Cricetulus griseus: one gene and its partner. The protein of the gene in region 1 purifies or fractionates together with the protein of each later gene. This does not show direct contact. Links are inferred from orthologs where the notes say so. Each region holds a gene or a part of one and is shown in the gene's direction. Other genes may lie near its edges.

Region 1 (6,429 bases):
GAGAGAGACAGCTTCAAGTGTCTTAACAATAGCATATATATATATATATAATATTATATATAATATATTATGTTTATGATTTTGGTTTTATTTTAATTCTTTTATACATTTATTTATTGTGTATGTGCATGTACACATGTATGCTTACTATTTATTTTGTGTTGCATAAGTGAGCATTGCAGTCAGAGGATGAACTTTCTATGTTTTTGGTGCCAGGTCATCAGCCTTGGTGACAAGTACCTTTACTCACTAGGCCATTCTGTCAGCCCTGTTTTTTTTGTTTTGTTTTGTTAGTTTTTTTGTTTTGTTGTATGTGTATGTGTGTACAGGTGGACATGTATGTCTGTGCACATGTATGTAGAGGCCAGATGTTGATATTGGGTATCTTTCTCTATCACTACCTTCTTTTCTGACAGTTTATTTCTAAATCTGGAGGTTACTGATTTCACAAGAATAGCTGACCAGTAGGCCCCGTGGGTCTCTGTCACTGTCTTCCCAGTGTTAGGGTTACAGCTTTTTACACTGAGAATCTCAGCTCAGGTCCTCATACTTTGTATGACAAGCACTTACCAAATGGCTCACCTCCCAGCCCTTGCTTTTGTTTTTTGAGGCAGGTTAGCTGGAGTTTTCTTTCTATTACTGTGATAAAACACCACAACCAAAAGCAACTTGAGGAGGAAATGTTTATTTCAGAGTATACTTCCACATCAAAGTGTGTCATCAAAGAAAGTTAAGGTAGAAACTGGAGGCAGGAACTGAAGCAGAAGCCATGGAGGAGTGCTGCTTACTGGCTTGTTCCTCATGCCTAGCTCAGCCTGTTTTCTTATAGAACTCAGGCTACCTGCCCAGTGGTGGCACCATAGTGGGATGGGCCACTAATCAAGAAAATGCCCCACCAGCTTGCCTACAGACCAATTTTATGAAATAATTTTCTCAATTGTGGTGCCTTCTTCTCAGATACCAGCTCATGTCAAGTTGACAAAAAATACCAACCAGGACAGGGTCTCATGTAGCTAAGATTGGCTGGTTTGAACTCTCAATATTCCTTCCTCCATTTCTTGAGGGATAGAACTACAAACACGATATCATACTTGGCAATTTTGATGCCCTCCCTTTCTTTTTAAAAAATTAGGTCATAGAGTTGTTTCTGAGGTACACTTCATAGGATTAGAGGCCAAGATAAAAACATAGGTCACAAGGGCCAAAAGATTCTTTACTATATTAAGTCATAAAAGTTAAGACATTTTTGTTTGTTTGTTTGTTTTTGAGACAGAGTCTCACAAAGCAGCCCTGGCTTGCCTAGAACTCACTCTGTGAACCAGACTGGACTCAAACTCAGAGATCTGCTTGATTCTGCTTCCTGGGTTCTAGAATTAAAGGCCTGTGCCACCATGCCTAACTAAGACATGTGTTTTGAATGTAATCTTGTTTGTGAGGTCCTCAGAAATAGTACAGATTTACATCTGGGAAAGAAACTAAGCTAAGCTCAAAGCTCACATACTGGGGCCATAAGCACAGTTCATTGCTATCTTAACTTCTTATATGAAATATCTCTATTTCAAAATTGTGTAAGCAATCATTTTTGTACTTTTAAAACTTATTCATTTCTTTTTGAGCTGTGTCTCTTTTATCTTTGTTTCCCCTCCAATTCAAAACAATCCTCCAGCCTATGCCTCCCGAATGCTGAGATTACAGACAAGGGATACCTTGCTAGGCAATCTCAACTGCAAATTGTGCGTACTGTGCCAGCAAGAGGCTTCAACAAGTCTTCAGGATGAGGGCTCTTTTCCTAATTTCCTGTGTGAGAAAACACGAGAGTGAAATATTGAACCAGACAGCACGGAGCAGGTGATAGATTCGTGGCAGAGCCAGATGGCCTAGGATGAAAAGGTACACAGTGGCCTTCTCCACCATTCAGGCCTCTGTTGCTACTGTGAAGAAGGTAGGCTCTTAGGGCCTGGTTTGCTCAGGTGGGCCAAATTCCCAGTTTGCCTTTCAGTAATTGTCCCGGACCCCTTTCTTTGGGATAGGAGCAGGTTCTGTCCTGCATTGTTTCCTAAGCCGAACACACCTTTGAAATTAGCCTGCAGTAAGGGCCAGGCAACATTGTGCCCCAATCTCCAATGCACAGTTCCCTGAAAGTCTTGAGTCGGGGAGTTCAGGTGACCAATTACTCTTGCCTGGGGTAAGAGCTTGGCTTTCAGCTGGTGAACCAACCTCCCACCCCCCACCCCCTCCCCCCACCCCGTTTTCCTTCAAAGCAAGCCCCCGGTCCACCCCTGGCTTGCTAGGTCATACTTAAGGATGACTGAGTCTGTGTTGCAATGCCATCTGGGAGGACCTACCGGGTGCAGGCACCCCACCCGAGCCCCGCCCCTCCTTCCTTCCTGGTCCCCCTCCTTCATCTTCCTTCGCTTCACCTCCTCCTTGGAGTAGGAGCCTCTCACCAGTTCTCTCCCTGTCCCTCCACCCCTTCCCCAGCCCTGCTCCTCCTCCCTCCAGCGACCCCGCCTCCCCCCACCCCGGCCTGGCTCCTCAGCGGGGCGGCGGTGCGCAGGCGCGGAGCCGAGTCCCGCTGGGCCGCAGCCGGTGGCCGGCTCGCAGTGGGCCTGTACCCGGCCCTCCACGCTCGGTTCCCCCTCGCTCTGCGGACACCAGAGGACTGACCGGACCACGCGGAACTGTAGCGACAGAATGGCGCAGACCGCCATGTCCGAGACTTACGGTAAATCGCGCTGGTTCGTGGGTATGTGTGTAGGGGGGCAGGCCTTGGGATCCCGGAATGTTTGTGGCTGGGGTTAGGGTATCCAGAGCCGGTGTTTAGAATATCGAGATGTTGGGACTGGACTGGGATCCTAAGAACCTCGCGGTGTCAGGGGCCAGGTGAAGATACTGAGAATCTTGGGATGTTTATGGCTGGGCTGGGATCCTAGTAATCTTGGGATTCTGAGAATCTAGGTCTCAGGGGTCAGGTGGAGATACTGAGAATCCCGGGGTGTCAGCTGCTGGGATCCTGAGATTCTTGGAGTGTCAAGGTCGGGCTAGAACTTGAGAGCGCCTGGATGTTTGAGGCTGGGCTGGAATCTTGAGGATGGGGGTGGAGGGTGTCGGGAGCTGGGTTGGACTCTCTGGCCAGTAGGTGCTCCTAGCTGTGCAAAGCATTGTGATCCTCTCTTCCAAGTTCCCTCCTGCTTTGACCCTACATTGGATTATTTAAATAGATCAAGGTTGGGGGAGCCGGTTTATCACTGATTCTCCCCCTCCCCACTGCAGCACCGAGCGCAGGGATGAAGGCTCGGCCACGCCTGCATTTAGTGTCTTTGGGGGCATGGCTGTGGGCCCCTCAAGGTTTGGAATTCCTTTCTTTGCATTGAGATTATAATGAGTTTTAAATGGTTGAGTGCATCTCTTTTCTGGAGACCCCCTAGCCTCGTGTATCTTTCCATCCCTCCCTCATCCCTGTTTGGGTTGCATTATAGCTTTTTATAAACATATGTCCTCTTTATGACCATAAGCCTTGGATATGGAGCTGTGTTTTTCATCTTTGTTTCTCCTACAGCACCCAGCCGTTTCTAATGCATGTGCTGGGTATTGTCCCGCCCCTCCTCCCCCCACACACCCAGTCGAGGTAAGAATAAACAACTGGTAGTGTGCATGGTTGCCAGCCCCTAACTGAGACTTGAGACTTTGACTTGGTATGTGCTGGTTACAGGGAGGGACTCCCATGTAAAAGCATGGTGATCATTTCGTGTTATCCCAATGTGTTAACCTGCTACTTTCCTGCCACAGGGTGGGGCCAGGGTCCAGCCAGGGAGATTCTAATCATTGTAAAAGTGCTATGGAAACTTCCCCAAGAGTTTGCAGTCCAGTGAGGAATAGATTGTTAATCCAGTTGTGACCTTAATAGATGAACAATTAAAATCCAGGCAGCAGTTCCAAAAGAGCTTGGTCTGTCCAACTGTGTGAGAAAGAGCTGACCCAGATGGGTCAGAGAGGGGCATGTGGACAGGCAGATCTGGGGATCTGGTCTGGGAGCATGGTTTGGGCACCTTAACTTGAGTAGGCAGTTAAAGAACCTTGAGGTTTGGACTTTGAGAGGGTGGGACCCTGGGAAGGGTATTATGAGGCACACAGTAGCCTGGTGCACTGTCTCCTGGCACCAGCACTCTTGTGGCACTGAGGCATTTGTCTGACCCTAAGACACTATCTATGGGTATCGGTTTTGTCAGGGCTACAGGTGTGTTTACCTTTTCCTTCATTTCAAGGTATTTTCCAAATATGCCTTTAGTTTTAATTTTTGTTTATTTTGAGACAGTTTCTCTATATATAGTTCTGGACAACTTAGCCCAGGCTGGCCCCACACTTGAAGCAATATCCACAATATCCATGTGTCCCCATGTCCTGGTTTTTACTTTTGTTTTTTGGGGGGTTTTTTTGTTTTTGTTTTTTGAGACAGGGTTTCTCTGTGGCTTTGGAGGCTGTCCTGGAACTAGCTCTTGTAGACCAGGCTGGTCTCGAACTCACAGAGATCCACCTGCCTCTGCCTCCCGAGTGCTGGGATTAAAGGTGTGCGCCACCAACGCCCGGCTAGGTTTTTACTTTTTAACTAAGTCTGAATTTAGTCTTTCCTTTCAATGGAGGAAACAAACAAAAAGCAAATAGAAACTAATAAGTGGAAGTTTAGCTTTAGAAAGAGGCAAGAGTGGTCTCTAAAGCTGCTGGCATAAAAGAATAGTCACCCAGAACCAAGGCAGAGGCTGTCACCTTCACTCATCCTTGACTATGTTTACACAGTATTGTTCCCCAAATTAAAACAACCAAGACCTCTCCTTCCAGACCTTTGCCTGTTGGCTGGCATAGGAATGTTTGCCTAACCTTTAAGTTCCGTGTGTTTGAGGCTGGTTTTCTCTCTTCCGTGAAAGGAGGTTCTGTGCAGCTTGGTGGAAATTCAATGAAAAATGGGAGCCAGTGTTTATGGCTACTGCTATTGAGCTGGCTGCTAATGGCCTGTAGAACAGTCCTGGCACATTGCACAGGCTGAGTGGTGGTCAGCACTTTCTTGATCTGAAGTCCCTAACTCCACGAACACTGTGCTTTAGATCACGTAATAATGTAAATTGGAATGTTAAACAGGTAGGCTTTTCACTTTTGAAATGTGGTTAGCCTAGTCCACCTGATGAGACTGAGACACTAGGATATTAGTAAAGTATACTACTGGGTGTGGCTGTGGTGGGTTTCTAGACATGATTAGATACTAGAGGCTCCAGACTAATCAATGAATTAAACCCTTGATATATTCATTATCTGATGTTATTATTGGCAGGTGATCAAAGAGGTTGGAGGTAGGACATGACTGGAAGAAACTGGAGGAATGTCCTTGGAGCTCTTTTTCACCCCTGCCTCTTCTTGTAGTCCCTTCTCTCTGCTTCCTGGCCTCTGTTGATGTCAACTGTCCCATCACATATCCCCAGCTGCGATGGGCTGACTCCTGTGAAACTAAGCCAAACAAATCCCTCCTCCCTTCAGTTCTCTTGGGCATTTTGGTCCCAGCTAGCAAAAGTGAATGTCCCTAACCCGAAGGGAGGTTCTCCTAGTTATTGTTAGAGACACAGCATCCTATGGCTATATGCGTTCAATGAGCATTATCGGGGCCAAGGATTCATGTTGGCAGCCTGAGACCTGAGAGTTTGAAAGCTATCCTCAAGTACTTCCTGACACCCAATGGTGAGTCACAGAAATTACTAAGCAGTGTATGTGGTGGGAAAGTGCCAGGGAGCTTTTAAACCTCCAGGACAGAGAAGACTGACCTGGAGGAAGAATTTGAGACAGGTGACTGTGCATTACAATTTATGCCAGGTGCTATGCGAGAAACTCCTGAGACATAAGAATTCTGCTCATGTTGCTGGCCCCATGGTGGTTTCTGTCCTAGTATATTCAGCATAGTATATTCCACCTCGAAAATAACACACAGCGTTCTGGTGTCTAACAGATAAGGTTGAGATCATCAGGGTGTTTTTCTGCTAACTGCGCATCCTCATTTGTGTGCATGAGGTTTGAATTGTGTCCTCAAAGTCACACATACATCCTAGCTCTGGACCTGTGGATGTGACCTTATTTGGGACAAGGTCTTTGCTGGTGATTATTGAAGGTGGAGTCACGCTGGGGTTTTATGTCTCAAACTTGGTGACTGTGTTCCAGTGAGACCAGAGAAATATGGACATACATGTTTGTACATACACAAGGAGAGTGGGCTTTGGCAGCGAGCCTCAGGTTGGAGAGGTCCAGTACCCAGTCAAGGTACCCCCAGCATAGCTGCCAACCACCAGAAACTAGGAAGAGACAGGAAGCACCCCTTCCTGAGCCTGCAGGAGCTCAAATGCTGCCACACCTCACTGCAGCCTCTGGCTCTGACAGCAAATATCTGCCACA
Region 2 (5,858 bases), about 28 Mb from region 1:
TGTGATATGGCATTACTATAAATGACAGCCCAGTAAACAACAGTGACTGGTACAAGCCCTTATTGTGAAACCAATTTTCACCTGGGAACTCACAGGAACCCAAGAGAGGCTTTAAGCCTGCTGGTTTTGTTATGGTGAGCAAGTGTTTTAATTACTATGAGACTGCTAGTGAGTTTACTTTTTTTTTTTTTTTGGTTTTTCAAGACAGGGTTTCTCTGTGTAGCTTTGGAGCCTATCCTGGCACTCGCTGTGGAGACCAGGCTGGCCTCAAACTCACAGAGATCCGCCTGCCTCTGCCTCTGCCTCCAGAGTGCTGGGATTAAAGGTGTGTGCCACCAATGCCCAGAGAGCTTACTTTTTAATAAAGAACCATTTTAGCATGTTATGTGTGTGGCTTTTCTTCTTTTAACCTTAGGAGTGTATCCTGTCAGGGATAATGTCAGTGAATGGAAAGAAGGTTCTTCACATGGATCAGAACCCGTACTATGGAGGAGAAAGCGCATCTATAACACCACTGGAAGATGTAAGTCTCTGTGGTCAGTGCATCTTTTATGTGTAGGAATTACTTGTGAATCTCCACTTTAGTTTTTGGAGATGGTCTAAATTTTGGCTCATTATTATTGCTAGTTGGGGGGTGGGGGGGATGAGACAGGGCCTCTCTTTCTCTACCTAGCCCTGGCTATCCTGGAGCTCACTATATACACCAGGCTGGCTTCAAGCTCACAGAGCTCCCTACACTTTTGAGCACTGGGATTAAGGGTATGAAACACCATGCCTGGCAGTTTTGGCTTATTAAATATTCTACTTAATAAATCTTCAGCTTCCAGGGTGCTGGATTATAGGTATGTACCACTAGATCTTGCTTTTTTATGGCTTTGAAAAGTGGAAAGTAAAAAAGACATTGTGGCACTTGACCTAAATACTTCGGCTTCCATCTGTTAAGGATGGCATTTTCTATGCCATCATAATGCCACTACATTTATGAAAATGAACGATATTTAAATTATATTCAGATTTCCAGTAACTCAGAGAGTGATATTTAGGTCTTCAGTACACTTTGGTTTTTAAAATCAGTTTTTAATTAACTAAAGATTTGAGCGTTGTATGTGTTTCTTCTCTGTTCTCTTAATCTACAAGTCTCACTACCTTTCCCCTTCTCCCTTTCCCTTTGGAGAAGTACAGGCTACTAGTTTGAAAGAAATTGTTGATTATTTCATACTGTATCATGCTGGGAGGCACTCGTTGGAGGTGAATGTGTGCTTAGTATTCTTTGGTGTAAACTTATGTTCACACTTATCAAAGTGTTTACATTGTGTGTGCAATTTTTAATCATCAGTTGTATTTCAGTAAAGCCTAAAAACTAAAAGCTAGAAAGAACTAGTTTTAACTATCTTTTCTAGATTTGAAGTATATAATTTTTTTTTAACTTGTGTAGCTAGAGAAGCAAAATTAGGGGGAATGAGATTCAACAATTAGTGGGAAAGACTTCTGCAATGCTTGTGTATCTTAGCATTCACGAGTTACATACTGTATTTAATTACATAATATATTGAGACTTGAAAGTCTTATCTGACTAAAAGTTTACTTGACAGATAAAAGTTTTATCTGATTAAAAATAAAATGATTTGTGTTTTACCTCTTATAGTTGTATTATACCTCAGCCTCTCGTTACATTATAGGTATTTTTTTTTCTACTTTTAGTTATACAAAAGATTTAAGTTACCAGGACAACCACCAGCATCAATGGGGAGAGGAAGAGACTGGAATGTTGACTTAATTCCCAAGTTCCTTATGGCCAATGGTAAAGAATGCTAGCATTATTTATGACTGTATGGAATCTGGGTTGGAAGTAGAGAACATTATCCCAGGTCTGAGGCCCTGGGGAATTGGTTGATGTCAATAGTATGTTTAGTAATATGTTTCATTAAAAGTGTCTGGAGTCTAATTAAGAATGGAGGGAAGGAGGTATAGAAAATAGCTCTGAAAAGAAACAAAAGCATGATGTGACACAGTGCATGTTAAAATTGAAGATTTTGTAGTATATATTATATATGTATGTAAGAAACTATAGACATTTCACACAGTTAGAAACATTTGTTGCAAATCTGGTGTGGTGTAGTACAAACAAAAATTCTAAATATAATAACATTGTAAGTACCTTCGAGAGACTTTGGGAGCCTGAGTCTTAAATGGTCTTTTAAAGGCTTTCTAGTGTGTAAGCTGTTGAGATCACCTAATTTCTCAGGATTTTAGAGGACTGAACTATCTTAAAATTTCTGTGGTGTCTATTTTTTTCTAAGATGGTATTAAAAAATGAGCCAGGTGCAGTGGTTTACACCTGTAATCCCAGTACTCAGAAAGCTGAGGCAGGAAGATTGCTGATAATGTGAGACTTTCCTGTGCTACAAGTAAACTTTAAGTCATCCATGTCTCACAGTGTGAGGCTCTGTCTGGAAAAATAGAAAACAAAGGAAAAACTAAATTTTTTGTTACAAATTTATTTCCCATGAAATATAGTATGTGTTATTCTTTTTCTTTTTTTGAGTTACATTTTATAGTTTGTATTATAGATACATTGTTTGAATGTTCTTTTAAATTTAAATAATTGAATTCTTGTAAATTATCCAAGTTTGTATAGTCTAGGCAACATTAACAGTAAGCAGGAAGGAAACAAAATTTGCATAGTCAGAATCCCACTATCTGGATTTTTTTTTTTTCTTTGCAGTGCTAGGGATAAAACCTTAGATTTAATTGTGCTTAACATTTTGATGTTTGAGATACACATATGCATAGTCCCAGTTCCCATGCAGTTTTCAGCCAGTGTATAATGTATGTGTAGGGGGTGTAAGAGGGAGGAAAGGAGTGTGTGTGACTGATGACAGATAGCATTGGGTACCCTTAGGAGAGAATTATGGATTTTTGTTTGTTTGTTTGTTTTTGTTTTTTGAGACAGAGTTTCTCTGTGTAGCTTTGGAGCCTATCCTGGCACTCGCTCTGTAGATCAGGCTGGCCTCGGACTCACAGAGATCCGCCTGCCTCTGCCTCCCGAGTGCTGGGATTAAAGGCGTGCGCCCGGCAAGAATTATGGATCTTTTTCAGAAGGCTTTTTCTGTTTATTACCACATTTGGCTTTTGCCTTTCCCAGTACCGTTATCAACCAGCCCTTGATAGTATTCATTTTTGTTTCTGCCATTTGCCATTGTAAGGTAAAATTTGAATTTTTACCATAAATCTGTCCATTAGAGGGTGGAATGAGTTTTAGTTATTGACCAGCTTTCCTGTTTATTGGTGAATTGACTTATTTTCTATTAAGTTGTGTTCTCCTTGCAATGAACTCCTTATAGATATCACCTCTCTGAAGACACAGGGGCAGCCTTTGTAGACAGGGACTTTGCTGCACAATTCTATTGCATGTGTTTTTCTTTATAAAACATTCGTTGGTCTTTTAAGGTCACAAGGCTTAATAATGGGGCCAGTTGATGTAATTTTTCAGTGTACTTTAATCTCTGCTGCATGAGAATCTCTTTATACTTTATTTCCTTAATTTTTTTTGTTGTTGTTCTGGAGTTTGAATACAGGGTCTCACACATGCTAGATAAATGTTTTTACACTAAGTTATGTCCCCCAGCCCTAACTTCAAAAATGATGTGACTACCCTGTTGTAGTTATCCTTTCAAATCATCTTTAAAATGGTTTTGGTCTCACAAAACTTTTGGCTGATTTGGGTAAGTGAGCCTCCTTGGTCTTATAGGCAGATGGGATTCCTAATTGTAGTCCTTAATCTATTTGATGTTGATATACTCTTAATAAATATAAGTAGACTTAGAAATTGAAATATTTGGAATTGTCTGTGACTGATACAGAACTGCAAGGTTGCCTCAATTCACTCACCAGTACATATTTCATGGCCTTTGTTAGCCTACAAGTTGTAACATTAAGCTTAAACGTATGCTTAAGGTGTGAATTTCTAGTCATACCATTGAAAACACAGCTTTGGGGGCTTCTTGGTAAGGATTGCTATACAATTCTTTAGGAAAATTTTGGGTGCTAAGTTTTATTGGTAGTAAGGTTTGAGTGACAGCTTGCATTACATGACTTTTTCAGGTCAGTTGGTGAAGATGTTACTTTACACAGAGGTCACTCGCTATATGGATTTCAAAGTGATTGAAGGGAGCTTTGTCTACAAGGGAGGGAAAATCTACAAGGTTCCTTCCACTGAAGCAGAAGCACTGGCATCTAGTAAGTAATTCTCATTTATCAGAATGACACGATTTTTATGGTGAAAAGGAGTCCCAGAAACCTATTTGTCTAGTCAACAGATAGTTATAGTGCCAGACACTCATTTAGGCCCTTCTTAATGTTCTGTTCTGTTTAGGAGAGGAGGGGAAAGGATGTGAAACTAGAAGTTTTCTTAGCTTTTTCTTAGTACCAGCTATATGCTATTAGTAGGAGTACTGACTCAAGAGAGCTTGGGATTTAATTCTCTCTCTCTCTCTCTCTCTCTCTCTCTCTCTCTCTCTCTCTCAGCTTTTTTTTAAATATTAATTTAATATTTTTAGACAAGGTAATGTCCCATGTATTCCCCCCCCCTTTTTTTTTTTTTTTTTTTTTTGGTGTTCAAGACAGGGTTTCTCTGTGTAACAGCTCTGGCTGTCCTGGAACTCACTTTGCAGACCAGACTTGCCTCAAACTCAATGAAATCCACCTGCCTCTACCTCCCTGGTGCCGGGATTAAAGGTGTGTGCCACCACCACCCAGCTCAGTGTGTTTCTTTTAAAGATATTTTATTTTTATTGTGTGTGATTATTTGCCTGATATGGGTGCTGGGACCCTAACTCAGGTCCTCTGCAAGAGCAGCAAGCTCTCCTAACTGATGAGCCATCTCTCCAGCCCTGCTTATAGCTGTTTTTTTAAAAGTGTGTAGAGCAGCTCACCGATTGTTTAAGTTTCATTAAAGTAAGTGACCCACAGGGCGGTCAGCTTCTAAAGGTAGTTGCTGTTAATTCTTCATGGTGTCTTCAGTGTCTTTTCCCATTAGGTCTAAGAGTGTGTCTTACAGCCGAAAGAGGGGAAAGGAGCAGCATTCATAATTTTGGGAACTGGCTGAGTTACAGATGTGCATTGTTAGAGGAAAAATAACAGTATAGATGCCTTTGGAACAATGTTTTCAAACTTTCAGCTTCTCTAAATATGTACTCTGTACCTGAAGTTTTGGGGTAAAATTGAAGACTTTATGGGTGATGTGTTTTAAAGTGTTGTGCCCCTGGGAACCATGTTATCTAGATCCCCTGTTATATTAATTATATTTGTTGAGTCATGAAATTGATGTTTAAAGTGTCAGTGTCCTATTGTGAGTATGTGCTTTTTGAAAAAATATTTTTTCAGGTTTAATGGGACTGTTTGAAAAACGCCGCTTCAGGAAGTTCCTAGTTTATGTCGCCAACTTTGATGAAAAAGATCCTAGAACTTTTGAGGGCATTGACCCTAAGAAGACCTCCATGAGAGATTTGTATAAGAAGTTTGATTTGGGCCAAGATGTTGTAGACTTCACTGGCCATTCTCTTGCACTGTACAGAACAGATGAGTAAGTAGACTAATGAATCCATTGGTGGCTCTGCACAGGCTGTGAGATGTTTGCCAGCAGTGACAGGTCTGTTGTACTGAAGTTGGATTTAGGCAACTTTGCAGTTCCCTAATCCATATCATAGACAGTTCCAAACACTTCAATTTCTAGTCAGCTTATTTGAAGAGAGTATCAACAGTAGAGAGAGAGGGTTCCAATCAGAAACTTTTGGTTTTCAGATTTACAGTTTTTTTAAAAACATTGAACTGAATCTCTCTCTCATTTTCCAAATGGT

The links. The genes of interacting proteins can lie anywhere in the genome.
Region 2: the proteins of Rab4a (region 1) and Gdi2 purify together in Homo sapiens (co-immunoprecipitation; 3 studies listed by BioGRID and IntAct, with this or other methods). This does not show direct contact. The link is inferred for Cricetulus griseus from reciprocal best matches to the Homo sapiens genes RAB4A and GDI2.

The regions. Positions count from the first base shown.
Region 1 is NC_048596.1:200,485,588-200,492,016, forward strand, and holds the start of Rab4a (ras-related protein Rab-4A), read left to right. Parts: upstream 1-2,396; 5' UTR 2,397-2,694; coding exon of another isoform or gene 2,695-2,725; intron 2,726-3,559; 5' UTR 3,560-3,579; coding exon 3,580-3,628; intron 3,629-6,429. UniProt on the Homo sapiens protein: The small GTPases Rab are key regulators of intracellular membrane trafficking, from the formation of transport vesicles to their fusion with membranes.
Region 2 is NC_048596.1:228,627,856-228,633,713, forward strand, and holds part of Gdi2 (rab GDP dissociation inhibitor beta), read left to right. Parts: intron 1-415; coding exon 416-523; intron 524-1,701; coding exon 1,702-1,801; intron 1,802-4,104; coding exon 4,105-4,239; intron 4,240-5,385; coding exon 5,386-5,584; intron 5,585-5,858. UniProt on the Homo sapiens protein: GDP-dissociation inhibitor preventing the GDP to GTP exchange of most Rab proteins. By keeping these small GTPases in their inactive GDP-bound form regulates intracellular membrane trafficking.